Linked DNA regions of Drosophila melanogaster. The protein of the gene in region 3 interacts with the protein of the main gene of each other region in a pairwise test. Each region holds a gene or a part of one and is shown on either strand. Other genes may lie near its edges. The genes, in order: CG34168, dsx and CG17377.

Evidence for each region.
Region 1: the proteins of CG17377 (region 3) and CG34168 interact in a two-hybrid assay, tested with the Drosophila melanogaster proteins (2 studies listed by BioGRID).
Region 2: the proteins of CG17377 (region 3) and dsx interact in a two-hybrid assay, tested with the Drosophila melanogaster proteins (2 studies listed by BioGRID).

The regions. Positions count from the first base shown.
Region 1 is NT_033779.5:16,134,162-16,137,099, forward strand, and holds CG34168 (uncharacterized protein), read right to left. Parts: upstream 1,112-2,938; 5' UTR 1,001-1,111; intron 934-1,000; 5' UTR 928-933; coding exon 745-927; 3' UTR 553-744; downstream 1-552.
Region 2 is NT_033777.3:7,964,319-7,969,383, forward strand, and holds the start of dsx (doublesex), read right to left. Parts: upstream 3,091-5,065; 5' UTR 2,145-3,090; intron 1-2,144. UniProt on the Drosophila melanogaster protein: Controls somatic sexual differentiation. Binds directly and specifically to the FBE (fat body enhancer) of the yolk protein 1 and 2 genes (Yp1 and Yp2).
Region 3 is NT_033779.5:6,800,853-6,804,533, forward strand, and holds CG17377 (uncharacterized protein), read right to left. Parts: upstream 1,938-3,681; 5' UTR 1,856-1,937; intron 1,803-1,855; 5' UTR 1,786-1,802; coding exon 1,759-1,785; intron 1,696-1,758; coding exon 1,099-1,695; 3' UTR 1,001-1,098; coding exon of another isoform or gene 999-1,000; 3' UTR 856-998; exon of another isoform or gene 854-855; intron 799-853; coding exon of another isoform or gene 788-798; 3' UTR 526-787; downstream 1-525. Other genes in the region: Daao2 (D-amino acid oxidase 2), read left to right, coding at 2,200-2,402, 2,458-2,670, 2,740-3,036, 3,094-3,406.

The DNA.
Region 1 (2,938 bases), 9.3 Mb from region 3:
ACGGGATCAGGCTGAGAGCCGTCTGCGTAAGGTTCCATCCAAGATGTCCGGAAAACCTCAAGCTCCTGATCTCAACAGTGACGAGTATTTCCCCAGTCTTAGCAAAGCACTCAAACGCACCAAGTAGCCGTATCACGATGATATACTCTTTAAACTTACCGTTTCTGTTGTTCACTATGTTTAACGATATCAATTTTTCTGGTCGATCTGATGCGGGGTGCCTCGATTAAATAAAATTGAAAGCAATCAGCAAGCCCATCTGTTTTAGTGGTGTTTTACTCGTAAACAAATTTGCACTCAACAGGCCCATTAGCATTACACGTCTTTTTGGCTGGTCCCCGATGTATCGTTAGCCGTAAACGAGCCAAATATTTACAATCAAATGGGGTTTAGCCTTAAATGCACCCGGCGGACTGAAAAGAAAACCAAAAACGGCAAATTACGAGATGGAATTTTGTGATTGTTTCCACAGAATGCATGCCAAATATTTAATTAGGTTTGCTAACTGTTGATAGCAATACATGTGAAGTGAAATTAAAGTGGTCTATTTTTGAATTATACGTATAATTTATTAACATCTATTTCTGATGGCATAATCTTTCATCGAACACAAATCTTTGGATCCACTTTGCCTGACAACTTTTCAGCGTGGCTCCTCATCTTCGACAAGGCCTCACGGCTGCAATCTTTAAAGCTCCTGTTCCAGATCGCGGATAAAGAAACCCTACATTCCTTCTAAGCAGGCTAACAATGTCCACCATACGGCCCGTAGCATGAGCAGCAACCATATGGGCCACAAGGACCGCAACAGTGGTTGACCGAACGGAACCACTGGCCATTGTAGGGTCCGCAGAGCAGGCAGGGTCCCAGTCCGCCAGTCGGTCCACAGCAAGTGCCGGGCATCGAGCACATTCCTGGATTGCACATTTTATTCTGAAAACGAAATGAAACGAATCGAGGATATTTTCAAGAAACAAATTCGTTTGTTGTTCACACTCACATTAGCCTGATTACGGAAGTAGGATTTTCAGTCCTAGAAATTTGGTAGTCGTACAAATAGATGTTTTCTGTTGGAGAACCGAAACTATAATGAGCTAAAGCCACTAGCTTGGTCCACAAAGTTCTACAGATTTAACTTTGATTTCATGGCCTTCTATGTTGTGGTTTCATGGCCTGCTTTTAAAATGCTTTTTTCCAAATTTTAAAATTTGATTAACTATATATACAGTTAGCCTCTTAGCCTCTTATCTAATTCGCTTTAAGAATTTTAATTCATAAAACCGTTCCCGATTGTTTGTGTGTCCCATAAAATTCCACTCCATTGCTCCTCCAAAAATACTTCAGTCCGTCCCGAAGGACTTCCCATTCCCCTAAAACTCTCGATGTCATAATTTAGCCGAAGGCGCAACAAGTCGGAAAAGCCAAGCCGCGACTGATTTTTCCTCTTTGCCCCACCTTTCATTGTTTTACCAAGAGCAGAGTTTTCTTAAGCATTTTGTGTTGGGCAATGCACACAAACCTATTTTTCTTCACAGCCGGGATTCCGTCTTCTTGTTTACGGACAACAGAGCCGGGATTCGCAGTCAAAGTGAAGTAAAGTCACTTGACAAGTTTTGTCACGTGCGTCACATGTTGGAATGTCCCCCAGCCACCCAGGCCACCCACTTTTCCGACTCTACCCATATTTCCACTCTGGCTTCTGAGCATTTGGAAGCAATTTTCCAGGCATGCCTTGCCGCTTCTGTCGTTGTCGTCATTTCATTGTTTCAAAATTGTTGCTCATGTTGTTTCTGTTGTTGACCTGGTTCTCTGTTTTCTTTTCTTTTTTTTTTGCCACGTTTCTTGGTTACCAACCGGTCTGCTTCAACTGAAAAGAGCTCTTGCTGGCGTAAATGTGTTTGTGATTATTTAGTTATGGCATCTAATTGAGTTTGGTGTTTGTTTGGCTGGCGCGGGAGTGTGCAAAGTGTGCTTATGCAATAGCTAATTGAGTCGATTACCCCAACACTTTTCACGTTTTCACCCAAATAAGCTGTAAGGCTGAGTGTAAATTAATCCATCTCGAAGTTCCTAATTTTTATGAGTTTAAGAAAATAAGTAAAAAAAACTCTGAAGGATGAAGAATTCTGTACATTTTACAAGTTTATTTACTTATAAAGCTCATGTACATCGATTTTCCAACATCACTATCTCATCTATTACTTAATCGAATTAAATGAAGGAAAGGCCAAGAAAATTTGATCGGATTAACTTCTTATCTTTTACCAACATTAAATTAAAGCACTTCCGCCCTTCGTAAATAGCCCGTTCGTTTGGTGGCCTTTTGGGTCTGGTTGAGCTTATTTTCTGTTCCGATTCCGGAACCCCGAATACCCCGGGAAAATTCCCGTATCCCCTTCCGTAACCAAACATCATCTCCATCGCGTGTTGGTCTCGTATTACAGCATTGCATATTCGCAGGCGCGTGCGCTCCCATTCGATTTGAACTCCATGGCGACTTTAAGGAAAATGCATCGAAGAGCCGAATATGTTGTGACTGTGAAGCTTAATGTTTCGTGTTGATGTGACTTTTTTCCACTGTTTTTTTCCGGCTTCTTCGCTGGTATTTTTACAGTTTTCAGCAATGCCTTTTTCAGCCCGCTCAGAAGTTCAATGTCCCCCATTTTATGAGCGTCCGTGCAGCGGAAGTTTTGGAGCGATAAGTTTTTGGTTCCGTTCTTATGTTTTTGATTTATTTGTTTGTAACTCACAGCTTAAAAGCGGAAGAAAACTCCATTAAAATGTTTAATCATAACTAATAATGCATAATTGCACAATAAATTTTAAAATATACATACATATGAGGAAAGCTACAAGTGCTCACATAGATTCTACATAGTCAAATAGAAAACTTTATTTAATTTAAAACCATAAAATATTAATTATTCATTTATGTAAC
Region 2 (5,065 bases), on a different chromosome or scaffold from region 3:
AAGTTAAGCCTATAAATATGTTGATACTCGTAAATCGATAAATGGCCCTCTAAAGCACAAAAATAAAAAAAGCTTTACATCAATCAATTACATATCAATAATAAAAAAACCAAATAATATAAGTAATATAAGTAAAAAGTATACATGGGAAGAATGTGGTTAATATTTCTATATTATATAGATAGGGAATATAAGATTCTTCTACACTTCTTGTCCACTTTCTCCACACCTGCTGGCGTGTTTGATTCGTGTTTAATCTAATTTGCACTTAGTTTGACATTATGGTGACTCATTGAACTTGCCTATGCACACAGATTCACACTCAAAATGTTTGACGATTGATTAGAACCTAATGAACGAAAGATAGGGAGAAATATATGTGACATAGACGAAAGCCAGTATCGATGAGAATTTTAATCTATTAGCTAGGTGACATGTAGTGTGAGCGTTTGTCTGTCTCAATTTTCGTTTGCTGTAATGACTTAATTTCGGAGTCTAAAGAGTTAATACCCTGTATTTAAATGGAGGGTAAATTGAGCATGAACGATGTGCTGATAACGGGTCTCACATTCGTGCTAGCACCAGATACCCGCCCCCTTCTTCCACCGCCTCCCGCTGGCCACGGCAAAATGTTGTTATTTTGCCTGTGTGTTTAAAAACTGCACAAGATTGCTTATCTTGCATGTCGCCTCTAATTTGTATGAGCTGAGAGACCCGCAGAGAAATAATTCCTCCGAAGAGCCACTTTAAGAGAAAGACCCTGCTGGCTATCAGTTTTCAATATTTGTGTTTGGTGGAAATAATGACAAATATAAGCAGGGAAACAGTGGTCAAAGTTGCCAAAGGAAAAGCGGATTAAATTGATTACGGGCGAGCATAAAAAATGTGCAGCTTGCGCATGTATGCTCAATTAATTTGTCTAAAGCGGAAGAGATCACGATAAGAACCCACTTCAGGTTATTAATGGGCCAAGGACAGCTCGGCGTTATAAATGGCAAAAGCACCTTAAGTCGATTATATGATAATTGCAAGTGGGGTGCAGCTTAAAAAGTTGAGTACAGATCATTATAACTGTGCACTAAGAAAAATGCATTTACAGGTATTTTATATTTGTATATATTCTTGGGAAAATGTACCAAGCTCAGATTTATATTATACTAAAATATTCGTCTTGCTAATATGGTTTAATAACTTACTTAATATAAATCTATGAGTAAAAAGTCTGCATGTTTGCTGAGGAGTCAAACGGCATGCTAGGTTCTTATACCTTTTTTTTTAAGACTACAGACAGGTGTACTCGATCTTGCCATTTGCGTCATCCGTCTTCATGAAAGTCGAGATTTCGTGAGTGAAAGCAAGCTGCAGTTTCTACTAATGATCTCTTACGCCCACTAAAATATGAGTTTTAACTTAGCAAGGCTAACTATGTTATTTCGACTACAAATGACAAGAATAATAGCCAAAAGAAATGAATAATTATCCCCAAGATAACACAAAATATTAAAGGTAAACTGTCCTTTCGCGCTATACACAATGAGCATTGGCAAAAATTTAAGTTCTAATTTACATATATTTTTTATAATTGCAGCACTCGTGAATAATCGATGGTAAGCTTTAAAATTAACAAGAAACGCCTTCGCTTCAACTTTAATTTGAATAAAAATATTCAGCACGTGTTTATCGTTTTAAGCCAGTTGGTTTCCGTATTTGTCATTTGCATTTTCCTCATAACCACTTAGACCTTGGTCCAATTTGCCTTATATGTATGCAGTCATCTAGGATAGCCGATCGCAAACGACAATGGCAATGGCCTACGCTATCCCAATCTTAGAAACTAATGCGGGAGTCTCATAGTGTGGCTGTAAAACGCGACCTGTTGCTCGTTTCCTGTTTAATTTGGAAGTCAGACAATAGCCTGAACCCCTGGCTCCCCCCCATTCAGCAGTCATACCGCCAGTTGTAGATGGCAATCGCTGAGCGTACCTGCTGCTATCGCCATTAAGCCTTGTACACACGAGCATTTATGTCAGGCAATTACAAGGCAGTTTGCAACGCCCCCAAATGCCGGGCAAAAAGGTGGCAAAACGGAGCGGAGTGGTGGCACATTTTGGCCGCAGAGCGCTCGTAACTCATCGTTCACTTACCAGGTACAATGCCAATTGCATGCACTCGCTAGAGTATCTCCAGGTCCACTACTAGACCACTAGCAGTATATGTATCTGTATCTGCATCTGCGATCTGCCTCCGCGAGGTGTGCTTTGCTCTTGGTTATGCAAGCAAAGTGAGAGAATATAGCACTAGCACTCGGCGAACTCGATGAGATACGGGGAGTCCGATCGGCTGGGTACGAGACGGTCAGGAGTGCTTCGTGGACCGAGAGTGAGAGTGTGAAGCCGGTAAAAATTTATTTCTTTTATTTGTTATCTTAAACCGTACAAGCTGTAGCCGCAAACGACTTTGTTTAGCATGGCACTCGCGGCTCGATCTGGTTCCCTGTAGGTCAACGCATTTTAGAGATATTTTCGGACCTCGCACAGCAACTAAAAACTATCGCACAGAATTTTGTACCGAATCCGCTCCAGTTCTTTTCACTTCAGCTTGAGATTGTGATTTCGAGCACGGAACGCGGACGGCGCGAGACGCCAACGCGACATGCACGACCTGCAAAGGACGATCGATGCCAGCAAACTGGTTGCGGCCACAAAGCTAAAGCTCCCCGTGCACGATACTAACACTCGGACCAGTACCAGTCCGACTAGCAGACCAAAAGACAGCGGACAGATACACGGACATTCAGGCGGACGGGCGGACCTAAAACTGAGCATGTGTTTCTGGCACAGAGACGGGCCCACCGACTGGCGACGCAACGCTCTTGCTATTTGTATTTGCACTCTGGTTGCTGCACCGCGAAAAAAGAAACGAGTGCGAGCATCCAACCTGCTCGACTGCTGGATGCACTGCACATCAACTGGGAGAAAGCAAATTGGTTTGGTACCAGATATGGATACCCTTATTTGACCGTTTTCATTGTAAACCCTTAACTATGCTCTTTTCCATAAGTAAACCATGCTAAAAATAACATAATTTAAACACAATTCTTACAATATGAACTATGAACTATAAAAAAGTATTGCAAACTATTAAATCGTATGTAATATGAGCTAAATTCGCCGCGAAAAATATAGGTTCCGCACTGCGGATACTTAATTCTCCTTACCTGCGTTGCATACTTTTAAGGGCTAATTTCCGCTAATATCAGCCAAATAAAATGTATTTTAAAAAATTATGTATTTGAACGGAAAATGTTTTAAAATATTCATTACTTCTGTGTTGCTATTTAATATGTGAAATACGAAAAACGGTCAATTATTTTAAATACTAAGTAAATAGTTTTTAAACAGAAACATTTATACGATAGAAGGGCATTTCTTTCATCGGTTCCCACGATTTTTAGCAAACTCATAAGCTCGAAGCAACGTTGGTATGTGAAGAACTCAAACGAAAGCATCTTGGGCAACAGAGAGTTACGGAGAGAAACGGGTCTGCGAGAGTGTAAAGTGCATTTGCCCCATTAATGGGGAGCATAAAACATCGAAGACGTGCTCTTCCTCTCTGAGCGATTCTCTCTTGAAGTTCGCGTGTTTTTTTGCGAATCTCTGCGAGAAGCTCGAGTGGAGCAACTTTGTTGCCGTACATTGACGTCTCCCGCCTGCATGTGCCGATCGTAAATTTGCACTCTGGTCGCTCTCTCTCTCTCTTCCGTTCTCTTTCCGCGTGGCGCGAGAAGAAGAAGCGCCAGATATGGGGAGCATCGAATCGGGTTTGGGCGTCTAGCCGACGATATAGGTCGAACCACTCAGCTGGGTTTCGGCCTGCGCCGCGTATTTATGCCACCTTTAGACGCAGCGATTTGCGTGTGTCGCACTCGCATTTATCACATTGAAAGGTCCCCTTTCATCGTCAGCCGTTATATTAGTCAGGATCGTTTATACAGTACGGCGGAGATAATTTTGCCGAAGCTCGGCTCCATTAAAAGATACTTCCCTCAGGCGATGCACGCAACTCCCAAAAAGGTAACCAAAAATGGTCGAGAGTTCGATTTTTGGGCAGTGAATCGATTTCGAAAGGGCCTTCGGTACTTCAGTAGTTTCCCATTGGTGACCAAATTGTAGGGGAATGAATGGCTCAGCGATCAGAAAACATTAAGATAATACTCATTAATTAACCGTTTTTGATTCTCGTTTAGTGTTTCAGAGACAAAAGTTATTAATTTAATATTTAAATAAATGAAGTGATAAAGTGACTTAAATTTAATGAATTTATGTAATTATTTTGACTTGCTCATACAAAAATTGAATTTAAAGAAAATTACTTACTTATTATATTAACTATCAATATCATCGAGGTAATGTGAAAACTTAATATAATTGCATACTAGGGTACTACAACATATTATTTAAAAAATGTTTACGAAAGTGAGAGCGGAAGGCTTTGTCATTGATTTGCATGAAACTGTATATATTGCATAGGCAAGGGGATACATTTTTCATCCAAATCCGATTTACATCTTCACCAATTGATCCCGTGCCGATTGTAGAACGATAAAATTCACATAGCTTTAAAGGCGCATTTCTTGCACCATTTCTTGTACCTTGGATCGCACAAATTTTAGCCCTTTTTATGGCGGAGTGTCGAAAGAGCTTGGCTGGGGGCATCTGCATTTGCAATCTCATAAATCAATTAGCAAAGAGCGGCGCGGGAAGAGTATCTCGCGGATACGCATCCGAATCGAAACTCGTTTGGCCGAGTGCGCTCTCAAAAAACGCCAACAAACTTGGGGCAGAACGGCAAACAACAAACACTCGGGCGGTCAGAAAAAATGCAAATTGCTAAGGAAATATTTATTTATGATCTGCTCTCTTGCTCCCAGTTCCACTCTCTGCATCTGACAGATACTCTTTTTTCCTTGTAGGACCTTTGCGACCCCCGCATCGATCATCAGCGTTCAGTGTGTTTTATTTTTAACAACTCCACACTCACCACAACCGACGCATCGGTGGCAATT
Region 3 (3,681 bases):
GCTGTTCCCTTGGCCCAGCACATCCAGTTCAAGTTTCGGTTCGGGTTGGCTTAAAAGTCATGGCCAACTTTATGAAATTTCATGGCCTACTTCGACTTAGCAAAGATTATGAAATCGCCACAGATCTACATAATTATATATCTATATTTGCCTTATTCACTAAAACAAAATATTTGACCCGCGAATTGTTTAGGTCAACTAACTCACTAAGATTGGAACATGGCTCTCCCAGCTCGAAAAAATGGGTTTAAAACAAAGTACTATCAGCAAAGTTCAACTTTTAATTAATTAAATCTTAAATGCCACGGAAACCCACCCTAATAAAATTGATATTAATTAATATAAATATCAGAATATCTGTGGGACATATGAACGTAAATTTTTATGGCCTTGGCATAAGGTTTCAACCTTAATTTACAATTCTAATGCCAGGCTTAAAATATAAATATTCGAAGCATAAGTGCAGCCATAAAATAAACGCAACCTTTAACACCCCCCATAATACACAGAATATAATTTCAATTTGTTTATTTGTAATTTAATGCCAAATAGATTCCAGATACCAACATATGATTTTGTGTTTAAATCAAGACCGTCTGACGAATTGCACATGGGTTCCCAAATAGCTTCGAGCCCTTCTAGTAATGGGTATTCCGCAGCTGGCTAAATCTTGATTTAAGCCAACTTCAATTTTTTATCAACCAAAACTACGTCACAAAACGACAACATGTCCCGCCAAGGAAGTGGCCCATATCAGGATCCGATCGAAACACTTGCCAGGAAATACTTATAAGCCACCTGTGGGATGAGAAAGGTAAAACCAGTGAATGCAGAAGGTATCGCAGTTACTTACACGCGACAGGATGCGGATGGAGGTCAAAGGGTCATGAAGGATTTGGGGCCTGGCAACAGCATTTGGTCCATGGATCCTACCTCTACGCTCACAAAGCCCAGGACATGCTATCATTGTTGACGGATCAGCGTAGTGGGCATAAAGCTCCTGCAAAAGGACATGAAGCGTCACCACAAGCACATGTTCCAGATGCTGTGACCTGCAAAGTCCTTGGGCATGCCTCGTGCTCCTCCGCTCCATGGTTTTTACGTTCTACGGACGCCCAGCGCCGTGACAGATGGACAAGCAGACGGACAGACAGGCGGACAGGTGGACGGACCTGGACCGGACTTACATGGGTACGTCACAGGTGCGTTATAGTAGTTCCAGACACGCGGATCGGGAATGCCGCCTTCAGGCAGCGGAGGGCAGCACATGCCCGGAGCAGAGGAGCAAGGAATGGGCGACGGAGCTCCGCATGGAGGACTGTGCGGGCCACAGCATGGAAGACTGTGCGAGCCACAGCATGGAGGACTGTGCGGGCCACAGCAGGGCGATACATTACAGCAGCAGGGACCGCATCCACAGCAGCCGCCGGCAACGCGTCCACCGCATCCGGCACCGCCATTTGGTGCTCCAGTGGCGGCACAGCGCATACGCTTATTGTTCACGCCCATCATCATGTTAGCGTAGCGCAGCGGGAATGCCGCCGGACCGCAGGTGGGGAAGGGGAAGCACAGGCAGGCCGGTCGGCCCTGGCAGGCGGACCGCGGGCACTTGTCCTGCAGACCGTTCCGCTTCACGCAGTCGCAAGTGGTGTACATGATGCCGCATCGTAACTCCCGACTGCGGCATCCGCGCGGCTGGAAAGGATGCATACATAGTGGTCACAAGTGGTCAGTGGTGTGTTGCATATGGTTACTCACCTCCAACGATCCACATCCGTCACACATCTTGAGCCCGTCGAGCGCTACAGGACAAAGGATTTAAAAATATACTATGGTCTTCCCGGGATAAACTTACTCTATTTGGTCAAATTAATTTGGAAGAAAAATTTGGAATTTGGAAAATTTAGAAGCTGGCCGAAACGAAAGGTCCGAGAGTTTGGTATCGAATGAGGAATGATCAACACATCCCAACACACATATTCGGTTCCGTTTGAGATGAAATGCAAGGCCAACTTGTTGGAATTATAGCCTACTAGATTTTAAGAAAGAGTTAATATTAGATTCAAAATGCAAAAAGCTTTTTCGCTCTTTTTAAAAGCTCTGTTATCAGCTAATTGTATTATGCGATTTGCTTACAATTCTGATAAGCGATCCTCTTTTCAGTTCATTCCAAGTTCCCAAGCTGATCGGATTGGAGCAATGCCTAACATTGCAGTTATCGGTGCCGGGGTTAATGGTGTTGCCAGTGCCATTAAGATACTGGAACACTATGTGAACGATGGAAAGACACCCATAAAGGTGACGATCATATCGGAGGACTTCACGCCTAACACAACTGGAGATGGTTCGGCTGGTCTCTGGGGTCCGTACCTTCTGGGCGGCACTTCGCAGGCGAAAGTCTAGTAAGTTTTACTAGTCACTATATTATATTCTTACTTATAACTTTTTTTCCATCAGCAAGTGGTCGAAGAGCATGCACCAATTTTTGGAGAAGATCTGGCTGAGCGAGGATGCCGGAGAGGCTGGCGTTTGTCTGCTACCCTGCATTCGGCTGAGCACCTCAACGGTGGACACGGTCGAAGATTTTTGGCGTGACATTGTCTATGGAGCAGTGGATCTGTCCAAGGAACAGCTGGCTGCCTACAATAAAGGTCGCAGCGTTAAGTTCACGTAAGAATATTCATAGATATCCATAGATTTATACTTGCTGAAATATGAACATATCTAAACCATATCTAGGTCTGGTTTATCCTTTGTTACCTACACCTCGGAGCCCATTAAGCTACTGCCGTATTTGATGAAGCGTTTCACCCGAAATGGAGGTGTTGTTGTCCGGAAAAGGATTACAGACCTGGATGCATTTGTAGCCGATTCCGAGTACGATGTGATAGTCAATTGCTCCGGATTGGGCTCTAAGACCCTACTAAACGACGATCAAATGTACGCAGTGCGTGGCCAAGTTTCCCGGGTGAGGGCCAACTGGATTTTCTCTGCCGTGCTGGACGAGAGTGATGATGGCAACTATATTATACCCAAGTGAGTATTTGCCAGTTACACTTATTTGTTCGTATTCCAATATCTGAAATATTTAAGCACCGAAAGTGTTGTCCTGGGCGGAACCCATCAGGAGCGGGACTACAACACTAAAGTCTGCCAGAACGACAGGCGGATGATCGTCGATGGCTGTCAGCGGTACATTCCTGGTTTGGAGCACACGGAGTGCCTCTTTGATTGGGTAGGTCTCCGGCCGGGTCGCACCCAACTCCGACTGGAAGCCGAGCGCCGCGGCCGCAAGCTCCTCATCCACAACTATGGACATGGCGGCAGTGGAGTCACTTTGTGCTGGGGCTGTGCCGACGATGTCCTCAATATCCTGTTGGCCGCCAAGAACGGTTCCAAATTATAAGTCAGTTGGAAAGATTATTATTTTAGTTCTATAACAAAATTGGTAGTGTAAAGGTAACAGCATTTAAAAGCATCTCTTTATCTACATAATAAACATTTTAATATATTTCATTACACTTAGCAATTTCTATATGGAAAATGTTATAAAATTGAATTGAATGCTGTACTACGTTTTGATTGGGTCAATGCAAGCATATTTTTGCCTGTGTAGGCAGCACTATCGCCATGGCATGGGGATCGTATTGATAGGCTTATCACCGACTGCTTGGAAACATT